Linked DNA regions of Mus musculus: all the other regions are reported to be linked to region 3. Evidence: microRNA targets listed by miRTarBase, many of them from high-throughput screens and not tested one by one. Region 3 holds a microRNA gene; each other region holds the end of a gene's coding sequence.

Region 1 (4,284 bases), not on the chromosome of region 3:
CTAAACACCCAGATTCTTATCATCTGCTGCTAAGAAATCTACTCAGCATGTTGTTTTTCATGGGACTGACTTTATATAAATAAAGGTTTAAAAGCATGCTGTCTGAACGCAGTACATCATCAAAAGCAGTGCCCATGGGCTCTGAGCACTCACCTATGCTGAAGCACGGCCAGCTAACTCTGCCAAAGCCTCCAGGTGAGGTTTAGAGGGTACTTACCACAGCTTATGTCTTACATTCAGTCTGCCTTACCCTACTTTTTGTATTCTTTAGAACATTGTGTTCATTGGTCATTCTGAAATATTCACAGAATTTCCAATTAATTCTCTTCCAAGCAGAAAACTTTAGTAGCTGAGAAGCAAGGCTTCAAGAAACCAAGGGAAGTGTTCCATTAATTTTCTTACAAAGCCCTGGCACACACAGCCCAGGACCAGCAAACCCACATGAAGCCCACCCTCTGGATCCATCCAGGAGCTGCTTTGCTGGAATCTGACCCATGCTGAGGTTTGCACGAGTGTGACAGGACATTTGGTGACCCTAATAGGTAATTTTTTTTTATCTTCTCCACAGAATGTGAATGGCATAAAGTACCATGCTAAGAATGGTCACCGAACACAGATTCGCGTCCGCAAACCATTCAAATGCCGGTGTGGGAAGAGTTACAAGACAGCTCAGGGCCTGCGGCACCACACAATCAATTTCCATCCCCCAGTGTCTGCCGAGATGATCAGGAAGATGCAGCAGTAGCGTGCTGGTCAGAACTGTGCCAAGAAATCCTCACCAGCAGTTGCTGATTTTGAAAACAGCCACCTTTTTTCAGGGGAAGCACTCAGCAACCCTTTAATGAAAAATAATTAAATGCATGCTTTAACCTTTTCTGTACTTTTGGAATGATGTATCTTTGTAGTTAATGATTTTGTACATTTGCACATGTAATCATCACGCCCATTTCCATTACGTTGATATAAGGTGCTAAACAAAACAAGCTCTAGGTTCTTCAGCACATTTTCCCCAAAACAAAATAAATGAAGGGCATGTTGCATATTGTTTAACCACATTGCAGTGATGTCAACTGGGAGAGGAGGGGCTGGCACTGAGATGTTTTAAGATTGTAATGTGATTGAAGCTTTTCAACACATCGACTCACATAAAACCAAAATAATACCTTCATTATCAAACTGGTTATCATGCCTTACATAATGGAGTTAGTATTTGTGAGTAGAAAGACTTTAGGTAATGGAAATATAAATAAGAATGTTTAACATAATATGCTAAAAATATTTTCATATTTAAATAACATGCATAAAAGGTGTGCTTTCTTTTCTTTCTTTTTTTTTTTTAGTTATTATCTTGCCCTTTAAGAAGCTGAAATTCTTGCCATCGAACTTACCAATCATTTTAGTGTTCTAAATGGCATCTTTGTGCAAAGGACTCAGTTCACTCATTAATGCTAACATTCTCATTGAGTGCCTGCTGGGTGCAAGAGACTGAAGTTATACCTAAGTTACTTGTGGACCAAGATACCAGTGAAATACTTTTCCCTGAAATGTTAGGAAACACTTTGAAATACTTAAGTGCAAATTGTGTGTGTGTGAAACTTAGTTATAGCTTCATCAATAGATGAGGTTTTAAAGCACTTTGTAGTTCTCTATTGCCAACAATTTTGTTTAGACGTTGCCAATTCTTGCAACTATTGCCCTAAGAGATCTGTGGGTTGCAATCCGAACTAAAATTCAGAAGTGTGTTTGAGCGAGGAAGGTTGCTAAGACCCCTACTGCCCCTTTCCTGTTCAGTTGCGACTTTTAAAGGCACTTTCCTATCACACTGTAGATGTCTGCATTCTCATTAGAAATGTCTGTTTAGCTTTAGAAAACATTTTGCCAGAATATGAAAATAAGCCTTACTGACATTAAGTGCTTCTTGCAGCAGGTGGTCAAGGAAGAGTGACTAATAGACCCACTAAGAGTGGCCTACATCTGGATCGTCCTGGAGCTTCTCTCACCGACAGTACCATCATGTGTTGAGTGTTCTTTTCTCCCAAGTGCTATTCTTTAAACAAGAGTTTACCGGTTGCCTAATACGCAATAAACGTTGCTTTGACACAGCTAACTGCACACAGTACAAACTGGTGAAAGGCAGACTCAGATTCCCTCTAAAATAACCTTTTCCCCCGTGTTCCCATCTGACGCAGTCTTACACACAGCTAGCTAGTCGTCCCTCCTCAGCATTCACACTGTGAAGACAATTCTGTTAAACAGATGGGTAAGCTTCTGCATCAATCCCTCATGATGAGGGATTTAACAATATTTATAAAGATGCTGCCCACTAAAAATGTCCTCAGCTCTGAAAAGTGGTCTCGGTCTTGACTCTACAGTGTTAGCTCTCATGGTGTTAAATGGATGATCCAGAATTCAGAATAGAAGTTGGTGCAAAAGAAGGCCCTACTTGCTCCACATCTACCTACAGTTGACCAAAAAAGTTAGGCCAGCAATTAATAGTTAGCTTTGCTCTTTCTAGTGTGAGAAACTGCGGGCTGGATCAGTAGTTCAGCAGCTACACAGGCATAAAAACAGTCATTGTGCATGTTAAAAACCTTTCAGTGATAAAACCCAGTTTCTACTTCTTCATTGTGACAGTATTACTAAACAGGTGAGGAAGGGATATTTTGTTACACCGTGTATAGTGAATGTATTGTACCGTGTCTGTGAAAACCGTGCTTTAAATTATATTTTCATATGTTTTGTTGGGGACAGAGCACATTAAGTTTGAAAGCAACAGAACTATCAGAATTGAAGGCAATTTACTCAAACTTTCTGTCAAGAAAAGCTGCTTAATAAATGTACATGAAATCACATTTAAAATAAACTGCCTCTGACCCAAAATAAATATGGCTCTTTATTTTAATTAGCTCCGCTATAAGAACCGACATCAAGTTTACTGTGGGAACTAAAACATCTGTCCAGGGCCTGTTCTATTACGCTCCTAGTTATTTTGCAGAATCTAGGTGATATGTAAAGGTTTTGTTCCCTTATGTTTTGCTTACTTTTCTGTAAGTAACACTTTATGATAAGCTTGGGACTAAAACTCTACATAAACTATCCAGTTAAACAGCCAACAAGATGAGCAGCCTCGTTTCACTGACAGTAATATTCAAAGACTACTTTCAGGTTAGCATGGGTCATACTTCCTAACTGCAGGAGAAATGTCCACAGTATGTGCACACGTGTGGAGGCCAGATGTCAACATCAGGTGTCATCCTGAGTCATGTCTCCACCTTGGGACAGGGTCTCTTACTGAACCTGAAGATGAGCTGTGTAGACTGGCTGACCAGCACATGCGAGGACATCCTGTTGCTGCCCCCCAGCAACACGTCTGCTTTCTCACACCAGTGCTGGGATCAGAACTCAGCACAGCCAGCACTTTCCAAACTAAGCATCACCATGGCCTCCAAGGTCTCATGTGGGGCACACGTTGCCCAAGGATATTCTATGGAGGACTCGCCAGGATGCTGAAGGTGTATCCACCGCTGGCCCTGCCTCTAAGGACTGCCTGACGCCTGGCAGTCCGAATGTCTCCTGCTGGTTCACTCTAGAATCTACGGCAATCTGAATCTACAGCCTAGATTTAAATACCCTTTCAAATAAAATAAATGCAAAAATAAAAATATTTTAAAACATATACATATACCTTTTCAAATGATTCAATTAATACACAAACTCTTCTATAAATACCAGCAGCATGGTATACAGCAGTTTACAGACAGCAATCTAGAATGCTACCAACTCTGAATATTTATTTAACATCTCCAATACCTAGTTTGCTCAGAATGGGCCTCTATTTTAGTGACTACTAAAGCAGCAAAAAGTACTTTAACATTCCCATCATAAAAGGGAGTGTGTGTGTGTGTGTGTGTATGTGTGTGTGTGCGTGTGCGCGCGCGCGCTCGCGTGCACGTGTGTGAATGCTACAGTGACATGACAGCCCCCCACACTGTCTTCTATAATGTTAGCTGTGACTGAGAAGCACAGTTGTTGGGTCTGGGTTGTGCATTGTATTTCTGAGCACTTCCTGAGGAACGTTATGTCCAACGTGTATGCTCATCAGGAAAATGTGAGAAAGACCATGGTACACAGTCTGCCATTTTATGCCCCGAATCATTTACAAAGGTCATTTAATGAGAACAGATAATGCCTTGATTTATTTTGGTCCATTATAGTTAAATACAATTATAGCTAGTTATAAATACAAACTCAATCATTTAAAAATAGTCATCTAGATTATGCTAA
Region 2 (4,284 bases), not on the chromosome of region 3:
AGAGATGGTAGAATACCAATTGGTTCTTTTCCTGAAGTTTCTTCTCCAAGCAGAATCCACAAGACCCACAGGCTGTTTCTGCAGGCCACCATGGCATTCAGGAATGCCAGCAACCCTGGTTGTGGCTCTTTATGTTGGGCACTGCTGAATTGCCCCATGTCTGAGAAAATGGACCCTTTGTTCTGTGGTGACTGGAGAGGAGACTCCATGAGTTTTCTTTGGAGATTGATGGGCGGGGGCAGTTTGAACTCTTTACTGTCAACTCCAGGGACTTTTCTGACGCTTACCAGCAAGCGCCTCAGGAAGAAAAGAAGGCTGGCGCTATGCTTTGACATTCATGATTGGGAGTCCCATTCCCACACTGTGGCAGGGCTGGAATGTGGAGCCAATAGCAGGGGCCGGAGGTCAATGATGGAGCCACCATGAACGGAATGATGCTGTTTTCAGCAGGGCTTCAATCTCGTGGGACTGGATTTGTTGCCAGAACAGACCTGATAACGCAAGTCCACCCTTCATGCTCGCCTCACGTTCACTTGGGGCTTGCTGCCACGACCAAGCAGCAGAAGACCCTCGTCAGATGCAGCTGCTGGAGTGCAGGCATCGCAGTCTCCAGAACCACAAAGCAAAATAAACCTGCATCCTTTGCCAACCATCCAGCCTCATGTTCTGCTACATCAGTGGCCTAAAGCCCAGTTGCAGCTGACCTGTGAGTTCTGCAAGAATCTTCCATGATGTATGACTTCCCTCAGATGTAGAGTTGACTAGCAGAATTACCCACCACCGACTAACAGGGGGACTTGCCAGGTGCTGAGTACTGAACTATGGTGGATTTCAAACTTGCTATGTAAATGGACTAGTCTAGGGTCAGGCATACCTTTTTCAGACTTGTTCCAAGTCAGACATAGTAGAACTGGTCTGTCATTCCAGCACTTATTGCATGGAGGCAGAAGGACCATAAATTCAAGGCCAACGTGGGATACATAGTAAGACACTGTCTTAAAAGTAGGCAGGTGTTGGAGGATAGACTGGTGTACTCCTCTTGCAGAGGAGCAGAGTTTGGCTCTTTGTACCAATACTGGGTGGCTCTAAGCCACCTGTAATTCCAGCTTCAGGAATCTCTCTGCACTGTGTGACAGCTGTACTCGGTAGGTATAGGTATAGGTATAGGTATAGGTATAGGTATAGGTATAGGTATAGGTATAGGTATAGGTATAGGTATAGGTATAGGATGTGACTATATCTACCTGTTCCATCACATACACATGAATTAAAACAAGGGAAATCGAAAGAACAACGAAAGCATCTCAGTATTGACTTGTCATGTCTGACCCTCAAGTCTGGATGGCCTCGAGCTCCACTGTGGCTTCAAGGTCACACATAACATCAAGATCACCTTGGCACACATAAGGGACCTGACTCTAGAGACCCTATTGCTGTTAGCATGATATAACCAAGCCGAGATGAATGCACTTGGGAGTGATGGTGACATACTTCAATGTGTCAGTGAGTTATGAATAAGCTGTTATTATTTCTCTGTAGAGATGTATATTACATCAGAAAGTGATCACACAAACTTCACAGACTCATCCTGCTTACACTATGTTAATATCTATCATCCCTTTGTGGGCATATATGCAGCATATTGTTAAAGGGTAGAGATAGATGAGTCCAGGTGGGTTGCAGTGAACCAAAGTGGCTATAAACCCAACTCTTGGTCACTGAAGTGTGTCTATAGGCTCACACTTTGAAGACAGTGTCAGAATTCATTGAGTCGACAAAGAAGACGTATTTCGTGGGGTTACTTCCAAATTCTTTGTTTATTAAACTTAGTAGACATTAAGTTAGTACTTTCATTTTTAATAAACCCCCTCAAGTATGCACCATGACTTAAAATATAATCTAAATATAAAGCACTCTGGTACTCCATGCCTTCGTTATAATTTAACACCGCACTGAAAGCTACTGCTTCACAAAGTGAACTCTTAAATACACGACTGACTCTTCTCCTGGGTCCTGGTCTCCATGTCTGCTTTCAGTTCCAGCTAGGTTTTTTGTCTCTCCTCCACCTACCTTCATGGGTCTCTGTGAGCAATAGCACTTGGTGTTTATAGCACCAGTTGCAATAATACAAAGGAATGGGTGGCGGCCATCCCCTCCTCCCTTCGGATGACTGTGAAGCGGCGAACCCTGAATGAGATGGCTCTGGACCTCGCAGGTGGGGCAGAACCAGGGAAATGCAGAGAGGAAGCCGAATCAAGCTGGTAATTCTAGTAACAGGGTGACTCCTCCTAGACCCCACCAAGGAGCACAGGGACAGCTGGCTCCTAGCAGAGTGGCTCATCTGTGGGTGAGTCTCACCCCAACCTCTTTCCATTAGTAAGCTACTGGAGCACTGATGTTTGGTTTCTGTGTGTTAAAGATGGCAGAGTGGATGTGCCCACCCTAACCACAGTGTGAGCCAGGACACAGGGGATTGGTTCACTTGGAGAAAAACTCCACAGATCTCCTTGTCAGTTGTGTGGCACTTAACACAAGGAATCCCCACCCCCACCCCCCACTGCTGCTTCTGGCTGCCTGGAGCAGGAGCTGCTCTGAATTTCCCAACTGGATCAGTCTCCTCTGAGGGTTAAGCAGCAGGCTGTACTCTGTAGCCACCAAACCAAGTATATGGCACACATCTCTTCTCAACAAGTGAAAACCGGCACTCGCTTGTCAACAGAGTTTAAGTTCCATTGAAGCTTTAGGGACACCTCTCTACTCAACATTTCTGAAAGTGTTGGTTAGCATTAAGGCTGGGACAAAGACTTAGCTGAACCTTGCCTCGTCTCTTATGTACTCAACACCAACCCAGGCTCTCCTGTCGCAAACATGGGGTCTTCATGGCGGTCCCAAGCCAACGCTGCACTGGGTTCCAGTGTCGAAAACCTCGAGTGTGGAAGGGATTTGGAGAGATAAAGAGAAGCAATGGCAGAGAGAGCTGCAGCTTGTCATTTGTATCTTTTAAGCTCAGCTCAGAAACACAGTCAGGAGTCAGGGGACAGAGAGAAGAAGGCAGCTGCCACCCCTAAACACACTCGCCCCAGCTCTCTGCAGACATAAAGTGCAATCACACCTCTATGAAGTTCTCAGGCCACGGATCGGGCGGGAAGACATTCAAAGCTGAAACTTCAAACACACTGCTCATGGCGCAGAGGCTGGAAGAGGTGGGGAGAGGAGAGGCAACGGCAGGTCTCAAGGCATTCAAGTGCATCAAAAGAATCAATGTCCTTTCTCTGTGTGAAGGAAAGTCATACACGGTAAAGAGTCTTGGTTCAGGAAATGTCTTCTATCTGAGGATGCGCCAATGTGGGAGAGTCCAAAGGCTGACAAAGGCAGGAAGCAACAGGGACCCAGCTGTCCTCCCTGCTGCCCTGCCATACAGATGACCTTGACTGTCTTCCAACAACTCTTCAGCTCTTGGTGAGGAAGAGGCACACTGGACCAAGGGCATCTGGTAGGATGTGGCTCTCTTCTCTGGTCTGTCTGGGCTGGAGCCATCGCTGGGCCTCTGGCCATTGAACAGCAGGTAGCGGCCTCGGGTGTCTTGCTCCATTTTGAAGATCTCATATTCTGTGTGAGGTAGTTTGATGCCCAGAGCCACGCAGCCATTGGTATGTGTCACATCCTGTTGGATACCCACCTGCCAGGAGCCCTCAGCCCCACACTCATTCCCACTGAAGACATTGAGGAGGGAGGCTGTGGCTGCGTCCATGGGAGTAACCTTCATGTGATTCACTGTGGAGAAGAGAGATATTTATGACTCTAGGCACACAACTTAAGGAGGCAGACACTTCTGGCAAATGCTAGAGGCACTGTTTCAACACAGCTTTCTCTTTAAAGCACAATCCAATTGCTTGCCTGGCTGACCACAGTAATCAAAAAAGTAGGCTCTGGTAGGAAGTTCCATATGCTGACTTGAATGGTGATCATACCAAACACAGCCAGCCAGCTCACAGTGTCACGCACTCCGCAGCTACAACTTAACTACACGGCCCTGCAATGACTTCATTAAGTATCAGAAGTAATGTAGAAATGGTGTAAAGTATAAGAGGATATGCACAGGTTTTGTGCAAGCATATTCATTTCACAGAAGGAACTAAAGCAACTTTGCGTTTTGGTATCTTCAGGGAGCCCTGAAAGTAATTCCCATGAATGTAAAGTCATGACAGTATACTGTACATATGACCAAAAAAACAGTGACATTTGGTTTATATTCCAAGTCCAGTTTGGAGATGATCACACATG
Region 3 (4,679 bases):
AGGTCAATTTGTGGTAATCTTCCTGCTTCGGATTCCTAAGTGCTGGGTTTGCAGGCATGAATTACCATGCTCACCTCGGGATAGACTTTGAAGAGCAACTTTGTGTGTCATGGGCCACCTGACTATAGAATGGTGGCAAATCTTCCCATGTAGACTGTGAGGTTCACTCACCCCAGATTCTTTGCTGAGTAATGTCCATTCGTAGGTAGACTCTGTGGCAGTTAGAATCCATCCTGGACTCTCCCAGCTCTCAAGTCCCTCTCCTCTCTCTATTCCCCTTTCTTTTACTCAATTAATAATAATAGTTCATATACAGTCTCAGGAAATTATTTTTTCCCATATTTTGGGATGTACTAAGGCAGTCTTTTCTGCTTTTTAATGAGGAAAAGATTAAACCAGTTATATGGAGATTGGAAGGGGTGTGGCCTAGTAGTTTTATTTTGACTTTTTGGGCCTAAGGGAAAAACATAACTCAGTCACAGAGGCCAAAAAAGATGGGTTTTGTTTTATTGTTTTGGCTGCATTGAAAATACAAACTGTCAGTGCTTGAGGAACAGGAGCAGCAGAAAGGAATTGATTTTTTTTTTCCCGCTGCAGATCCAAGTGTTGTTAACCATGTGCATTTCTAGAGTGGCATGCTTACAGATCAGACAGCACTTGATTTTTCTCCCTCCACAGAACACCGAACTCTTCTTTTTAACATTTAAGTAAGTACCCTAAACTTCAGGGTAATGACAATAATTTCATGATAAAAGTGGGTGATAGTAACCATGGCAACTGCTATCTTTGGCCTTATGGACATCCTGTTGTATTGATGAAGCTTTGGATACTTGAGGAGCCTGTCGCTTCTGTGGTGAAATGTGCTAGCACGTGCTGCAGGTGACTTCTAGCTGGATTGTGTTAATCTCCGTGCCAGCTTATCTCTCCTCGTTAGGAGTTTCTTGGCCTGTATTCTACAGCATGTTTGTGAAGGTGCTGTTGCCTGAAAATAACCCACCACCTGCGGTAGGCCTCCTGATGCAGACTGCAGCCTCCTTCCAGAGTCTTAGAGAAAAGAGGGCTGTCAGAAGGAACTATATGTATGTAAACTACAGTTCAGATTGGAAGTGCTCTTAGTAGCTTACAAAAACTTTTGTAATTTTGGAAATTGGAATCTTTTTTTCTCGGAGTTCTGTAGTGTGTGTATATAGATATTAGGAGTGGTGAGTGATGGGCATAACTGGAAAGGGAGGATTTGACAAGAGAAGCGCTTAGGTGTTTTGTTGTGAGTGTGTGCGCGTGCATATTACTGTAAGGATATATTTCCTAGTGAACAATCCTAGAGTATAGCAAATGCTTGGTTATAGAATTTTTTAAGTAAAATTATTTTAAAATATATTTAGAATAATTGTTAAAGGGGACACAGTATAGTAAAAGCATCTTAGTGGGGAGATGGTAAAAATGTTGCAACTGATCCAACAAAACTTATTTTTAAAAGTATAAAATTATGTTTCTGTCATGTCAGTTATTTTTAAAGCATTTTGTTCTTACTTGAGGTTTTTCTAGTGGAAGTTATTAATGCGAATTGCTACTTTTTCTAATATGTACTAGAGAAACAATACCAGAGCAGAGAGCAAACAAATTTGATTTGAATTTGATTAGACTCTGAAAATAAGACCTAATCAGATGCGCTCCACAGTTCAGACTTTCTGAAACTTGCTGTGAAAAGCTGGTTTACTTACTACAAGTCCCAGGATGCACTGCAGCTTTTTCTTAACTTCAGATAAGAGCATTGCATGCTGGGACATGTAGTTGGTTTAAATAGCACGGAGAACTCTTTTTCTTGTCTACTCCATTTTATAAATAGATCCCTAAAACTCTAAGAACTTCATTTTTTTAAAGTTACATTAATGAAATCATACTTACTCTGTTTCTGAAATTATAAAGTGAGACTTTATAAACAGCTTGGTGTTCTGTTTTATCACAGTGCTTTTACTAGCTTTTATAAGATCTAAATGCAAAATAACATATTCAAAACTTGACTTGGAAACTGTAAGTAGTTTCTGTGCATGTGGTCGAATAGGTTATTGCAGAAGTCTGGTATCATTGTTTTCTAGTGAGGGCAGTAGATGCCTTTTTGTCAAGCCTGACACATGCTATTCCTTTTGCCCCCAGTGGGGAGAGTTATTCAGCTGGAATTATTATTATTATTATTATTATTATTATTATTATTATTATTTTATTTTGTTTTAAGACAGGTCTTTTCTGTGTAGTTTTGGCAATCCTGGATCTTGCTCTGTAGACCAGACTGGCGTTGATACACCTGCCTTTGCTCCCCAAGTGCTGGGATTAAAGGCGTGCACCACCACCACCTGGCTTGGCCTGCGGGCTTTTTATTCCCGTCTTTAAATTCAGAGTTTTGTGATGCTTCTAGAATGATTAATTGGTCAGTATTGTCTAACTGGGAGAAAATAAATGATTCAATATAATTGAATTATTTCATGTCATTTATTTTTGAGACAAAATCCTGTATAGTTTATGCTGGACTTGAACTCACAGACTTACTGCTTCAGTTCTCTCAGCTCCCACCCCTCTTTTGTGTTTTTTAGAGGCTCTTACTCTAGCTCAGCCGGTTTCTGTATCTTGTGGTCCTGCTGCCCCTGCTCTAAAAGTGCCGGTTTTGTAGGCTTGCTTTATTTCTCCCCCTGCTCCATGTAGATTGATGCTAAGAGATGCAGCCTGAAGAGAGAGAAGGAAGGGCAGATTCTCAAATAGCTTAGATTTTCGCTTGTAAAATTTCAAAACTTTGTTTTGACTGTTCTTTATGAACTCCTGTAGGGTTGTTGTAGGATTGGGTGTAGAAGTCCTGAGAGTGCTCACTTAGCTTAGTGGTTGACGTGTAGTTAAGGCTCAGTAAATACTTAGGATTACCAACAACCATTTTTATTTCAAACAGTTCCTCCACCTTTAACTTCTTTTTATGTTTAGTTTAGTTCGAAGCCCAGGTGACTTTGGAAGACTTTGTTTTGAGATTTTGGTTTCTGGTAATGATGTGGCTTAGACTGATTTGCTGTTCATTAAAGTGTCTGTGTGCCTCAGTTTCTATCTAAATGATATATGCCCCAAATTGGACAAATACGCTAGTAGCAGGATGTTGGCAGGATTTGGTTGTACCTGTTCAGTATTGTTGTACTGTATTGCAGTGTTTCATTGACTTCAGAAAGTTTAAAAGATGGTGTTAGTAATGTTTGCACTGTTAGAATTTCCAAATAGCTGATTAGTAAAAGTAAGACTCTGGAAAAATGCTCTTGGTATCATGGTGAGTGCAACCTTGGGAAAACCCTCTGACCACATCAGCTTGTGGGACTGATAGAGAGGGCTACCCCCACTCTGATCACATCAGCGTTGCAGGACTGATGGAGAGGGCCACCCTCCCCCCCAATGTCATTCACATCTAGGGTGTATTTAGAATGGAGGTTCAAAAGAATTTACATTTTAAGTATTTACATTTTTTCTTTTGTTTTAAGGTACTACTTTTATTAGGCTCTAGAATTTTTGGGATATTTTTACTTTAGCTGTGTGAGGTAAGAAGGATGTTTGAGGTGGGAAAAGGGTACCTAGGAATATTGAAAAATATAAACGTAAATTCCAGTATATGTTCCATGCCTTAGTTGGAATATGAAAAAGTCAGATAATTGTCTTTTTACCTGCTTAACTGATATCCACTCGTTAGCATGGACTTCTTGGAACATTGTCATAGATTACTGCTAAACTATTTACTGAAACTATTTCTTAGCAGTAAAGTACCATTTGACTCTACTTTGCCCTTCCATGGGAGGCTGACACCTTTTTGAAGTATCAAAAATATGTGGACTCTGGTTGGATATGCTTCTACATTGTAAATTGTTTTATTTCTTTTCTATTAATTTGGTCTTTAAGTTAATATTAAAATGGATAAATTCAGCAGTTATAAAGAATTGAATACAAATGATCAGCAATGAGTAGGAAAATGTCCTTTGTTTTTTGTAGGCTACTATAGAAAATAATTGTGCTTGTATGAATTCTCCTTCAATAAATTTTATTGACACGTCTATTTATATAATTCCTGAAACACCACTGAAAAATCAGGAGAACAAAACTGGGTGGTTACTTGTCTTCACTCTAGAATATTGTTAAACAGTGTGTCATATGTCATATCTTGGGAAATTTAGTCTTGTTTTGAGTTTAGTTTTTCCAGTGGAAAATAAGTAAGAGCTTGCTGTTAAAAGGGGTAGATGAGATAATATTCATAAATATACTTTACAGACTAAATTAGTATACATGAATTGGATTTGAATTTAGAAGTATTTGTCATGTTAATAATATTATTATAAAGTTTTAAGTGTCTGAGTTAGAGTGGATGTGAACCAGAAATTAGCGATCTACTCTACTCACCATAGACAAGTCTTAAGACTTTTTAAAATTTTTTATTTTTAATAAATCTTTTTTAAATTTTAAAAAATTTTATGTATATGAGTATACCATTGCTCTCTTCAGACACACCAGAAGAGGGCATCAGACCCCATTACAGATGGTTGTGAGCCACCATATGGTTGATGGGAATTGAACTCAGGACTTCTAGAAGAGCAGTCAGTGCTCTTAACTGCTGAGCCATCTCTTCAGCCTGAGTTTAAGGCTTTTTAATTAATTAAATTTATTTT
Region 4 (4,284 bases), not on the chromosome of region 3:
CATCTTGGTGGAAGAAGAGAGGAAAATGGAAGGATGCTTTTGTTTGCTCGCTTGCTCGATCGCTTACTTGCTCCCTTGCTTGCTTGTTTTAGAACTTGTTCAGCGGCAGGTTGTTGGCCAGGGATTGTGTGAGTGGTAGATTTTCCTACTTCTCCATGAGTGGAGCATCCCTGTGTCCCATTTCCTCCTAGTTTTCCTCTTGTCCTGCCAGCACAATTCATCAAACCTCGACGGATGCTCCTTTATTTATGAAAAGGGCAGGGTCTAGCCCTCCCTTTTCCATCAAGCAAACTTAAAACCATCAGCTACTGTCACTGTTGTTCAGACCATAACACAGAAGATCCAGCTATCCTGCTCCCCCAAACCAAGGCAAAATATTTGTCCCTTTGTTAAAGTCTGAATACTTCCTTCTGTACAGTCCGTATATTTGGGTATATGTACATCTATGTACATTTCTCTGTATATATTATCTCTGTTTTTCTCCTTAGATAAACATATATCATATCTCAATCTCCCAAGTTTCCCCCCACCTCCTGTGTGTCAGTCATAAGTAAGTAAGACTCTGAGTTTCATCTCCCTAGGCCCCTTAGCCTCGTCGTTCACTTTTTCCCCACTCTGGAGATCCTTCCCCATTGGTCGTTTTGCTCACCTGAAATCTCCCATCCCACTTAGAATTGGCGCACCTGTTATTCTCCTGACATTCCAAGTCTCTAGCTGGTACAGACAGGGAACCCATTTTTCATCAGCCGTGGCTGTTAGTAAAGCTTGCCCTGCATCCTGAGAAAGGATTTCAGGTCAGAGAGTCGGGCTGGGATCTAAAGAACCACTTAGGGTTGTGAGTGGGAGTTGTTCTGCAGAACATAAGGCTTGTTGGAGAAAGGTGCCGTTCTGAATTCTGAATTAACAGGACAGATGTTAATGATTTTTAAATGATTTTAAAGTGCAACTTAGAGCAAAGCCTGGGATTGTAGAGGAAGTTCAAAAGGGGTTAAGGCAGGAAATGCTCTCTCACATTGTTATCCAAGATTCTGAGGAGAGTTGGGCCTTGGCAAGGCTCTGGGACGAGGGTCATTCCCTCAGAAGGGAAGCAGCAATGTGAAGAAGAAACAGGACAGAGGATAAATTGCCACAGGATAAGAAGACACACACACACACACACACACACACACACACACACACACACACACAGCAGTACACATGGTCCTTGCACACTGGACACATCAGGTAAGCGCAGCGTTGAATGTATTTGAAAGCACATAAGCTGGCTCTTGCCTTCTGCTCTTTGTTTCAGACATTCAGGTTCTTCTGGTTCTGGTTGTTGATGAGAGTTGGAGGCTAACGGTGAGCTTTACAGTAAGGAGAGACCAAAGGCTCTTCGTTTTCAGGCTACAGTTAATTGAGTTCAAGGGAAGACCAACGTAAAAAGACTGTGCACAGTTGAGATCCACTCAGTCTTGGGATCTTCTGAGTTTCTCTGCAAGGCTTTGCCCAGAGATCCGGGCATGCATTCTGTATAGATGTGTCGCTTGTCATCTGTCAAGTCCACCTTACAGCTTACGTCATTCCTGCCAAACTACCTTGCGAGGTTTCCTGGGTACCCAAGTGGAGCCAAAGCTCACTAGGACAGGACCTGGTGCTTCAAATGCCCTTCCATGACCCCTGCCACAACCCTCACCAGAGAACTAGGAATGGCTTGGGTGTGATCTTAAGCTGTCTTTGTAATTTGCCTGGAACTGGCCCGTAGGCAGAAAAGAGGAGAGATGGCGCTGGTTTTCATCATTTTATGCCAGGTGTCAGAATGGCAGAGATCAGAATGTAAGTTCCTCTCCTCTCAGCATTGCCTCATAAAATAGCTGGCACTTCTCAGAAGGGCACCAGGAGATGGAACAAAATAGTGGCTGTCAGCCAGAGTTCTGCCTCAGCCCAAACCATAACAAAACATCACAAATTCCCCGAGGCTCTGTACAGCAATCTGGAAATCTGAGAAGTGGGTTCAGCTTTCCTGGGGAATCTGTGCCCTGTGACTAGTTTTAATAGATCGATGTTAAGAAAGGCAAATGACCATGTTTCCCTCTCTTACTTCAAAAGGTTGAGTTAAGGGAAGGTCTGGGGTGGGAGAAAAGGAAGCAATGGAACTGGTACAGTGTAATCTGGATGGTTTTAGATATTTTCGTGAGGTATGTGCAATGGACTTATTCAAGAGAACATTGGGGGCTTGGCATAGTGGTTCATGCCTTTAATCCCAGTATATGGGAGACGGAGGCAGCTAGGTATCTGTGAGTTCAAGGCCAGCCTAGTCTACATAGTAAATTCAAGGACAGCCCATGAAAGAGAGAGAGAGAGAGAGAGAGAGAGAGAGAGAGAGAGGGAGGGAGGGAGGGAGGGAGGGAGGGAGGGAGGGAGGGAGGGAGAGAGAGAGAGAGAGAGAGAGAGAGAGAGAGAGAGAGAGAGAGAGCATTGGTTAAGGTCTTCCTATTCCCAGGAAACACTAAAACATATCTTTTCAGGACAGAGCTGCCCAAAGGACAGGGCCAGAGTATTAGACAGTATTTCCAAAATTGAATTTCTCAGAATCCAGGATGGGTGCAGGAAAGGTGGCTGCTTGTGTTTCTCGAGTCAACCCCAGTTCTACAGAAACAGAAGCTGAGAGAGAACCGGCTTTGCTGAGAAGATCCACTTGAGAACTGGAGAGGGAAAATTAGGTGGTGACCAAGAGTCCAGGCTCTGTCAGGAGTTACCAGCTGAAATTAAAACACCATGACAAACTCTGGCTTCTTTCTTCAGGATTTGATAGCCCAGGGAAAACTGATTTCAGATCCCAGTACTTCTGAGGGCAGAGCCCATAGAGTGACTCTCTGAGAGAGTTCTGCCTCAGGGAACTTAGCTAGATGGAAGAGAAAAGGAGGAAGCTCCAGTCTCAAGCCATCAAATTTTCTAGTGGTGGGCGTTTGGGGGGGAGTCTATCCATCCAGTCACATGGTCCTCTGAATGTGAATCTCCAAGCATGGCTGCGGCCTTCCAAGCCATGTCAGCCTCATCTTCCCTCTCTTTCCCCCAAGCTGGCTTAAGAGTCATATACATTGGTGTAGTGGTAGAGGAAGGTACAAGGGGACAGTGAGAGGAAAAGGAAGGGCTCCAGCAGGCCCCGACTGCTCACAGGCCACCGGGCTAAGGGGAAGTTGAGGGTGGGTGCTTCAGGGTCTCTCCAGCGAACCCAGATTGTATCCTTTTCCCAGAGCACTGGAAGAGGAAAAGGCCAGAGGGCTGGGGAGGAGAGAACAGGATATCAGACGTTGCTGATGCGCACACTAAGGGCACTGCCTTCCTTTTCAGCTTGCTCTCTTAATGACTCCTCCAACTTGAGCTTCTCGGGGTCTCCATAGCGTACGGTGCTATCGCGGAGACCACTGGGAGATGCCACTTTCACAACCTGGTCGAAAAGGCTGAAGTCAGCTATGTATTTGCCACTGGCTGACAGTGAGATCGCAGGCGTGAACTCGTAACCCCAGAGGATCTCCTCCGGTAGGTAGGAAGTGCGAACTTGGCAGGTGGCACTGGTGGACTCCACTGTCCCACTCAGGATCAGCACCAGCTCAAAGTCCCCCTCCCCACTGCGGAGCGGGAGATCTTTTAAGGGGCTGGTCTCATCTACCACGTGGTAGAAAGTCAGGGGTAGGATGAGAAAGGGGCTGTCTGAGGCTGTGTCTACTTGGAAAGTCACGTTGACCTGGTTGAGCCGAATATTCTCACCCTCCTTTGTCTGGTGCGTTTGAAGCAGTTTGCCTGTCACCTGGCATCCAATGAGGAGACTCTTCCGCATATTGGCAACCCGGATCATAAGGCAAGGCTTCCCGTTATGGGAAGCCACAACGGCATGCTGGCTGAAGCGGATCGTCTCGGCCCTCTTCTTAGGCCGGGCAATCTTTGCAAGGAAGGTACCTGTGATGAAGATTTCCAGAATGGTGGTGAGCACCAGCTGCGCAATAAGAAGCACGATGGCCAGTGGGCATTCCTCACTGATGTAGCGGAAGCCATAGCCGATGGTGGTCTGGGATTCCAGGGAGAAGAGGAAGGCTCCGGTGAGCGTGTGCACCTGCACCACACAAGGCGTGTGGTTGGCAGGAGGTCCCAGCTCCAACAGGTCCCCATGGGCCACAGCTACCAGATACCACACCACACCAAAGAGGAACCACGTGCCTGCAAAGGTTGCAGAGAAGAGCAGAAGCTTGTAGCGCCATTGCATGTCAATGAAGGTCGTCCATAGATCCTTGAGGTAGAGGAAAC

The links. Region 3 holds the annotated microRNA mmu-miR-1955-3p (GAGCAUUGCAUGCUGGGACAU, at 1,767-1,787, shown strand). A microRNA usually pairs through its seed, bases 2 to 8, with sites in the 3' UTR of a target mRNA and lowers its output. Matches are read on the target gene's strand: a 7mer-m8 pairs with bases 2 to 8, a 7mer-A1 pairs with bases 2 to 7 and ends in A, and an 8mer does both.
Region 1: the mRNA of Jazf1 is a reported target of mmu-miR-1955-3p. Seed matches in the 3' UTR shown: 7mer-A1 at 1,445-1,451.
Region 2: miRTarBase lists Apcdd1 as a target of mmu-miR-1955-3p. Seed matches in the 3' UTR shown: 7mer-A1 at 2,782-2,788.
Region 4: miRTarBase lists Kcnj10 as a target of mmu-miR-1955-3p. Seed matches in the 3' UTR shown: 7mer-m8 at 2,454-2,460 and 7mer-m8 at 1,834-1,840.

The regions. Positions count from the first base shown.
Region 1 is chr6:52,766,665-52,770,948 of GRCm38, reverse strand. Jazf1 (JAZF zinc finger 1) reads left to right here. Exons shown (of 5, transcript NM_173406.3): 5 at 569-2,881. The coding sequence ends at 745. It overlaps Tax1bp1 (Tax1 (human T cell leukemia virus type I) binding protein 1), which reads right to left. Exons shown (of 18, transcript NM_025816.3): 18 at 4,169-4,284. Among named protein-coding and RNA genes, the nearest start is that of Gm52904, 30 kb to the left of the region's middle.
Region 2 is chr18:62,951,320-62,955,603 of GRCm38, reverse strand. It overlaps Apcdd1 (adenomatosis polyposis coli down-regulated 1), which reads right to left. Exons shown (of 5, transcript NM_133237.4): 5 at 1,789-3,774. The coding sequence ends at 3,326. Among named protein-coding and RNA genes, the nearest start is that of Napg, 24 kb to the left of the region's middle.
Region 3 is chr2:92,190,269-92,194,947 of GRCm38, forward strand. Mir1955 (microRNA 1955) reads left to right here and starts at 1,709; the gene lies at 1,709-1,806. The region is part of intron 1 of Phf21a (PHD finger protein 21A); the gene reads left to right.
Region 4 is chr1:172,369,063-172,373,346 of GRCm38, reverse strand. It overlaps Kcnj10 (potassium inwardly-rectifying channel, subfamily J, member 10), which reads right to left. Exons shown (of 2, transcript NM_001039484.1): 2 at 1-4,284. The coding sequence ends at 3,287. Among named protein-coding and RNA genes, the nearest start is that of Pigm, 5.3 kb to the left of the region's middle.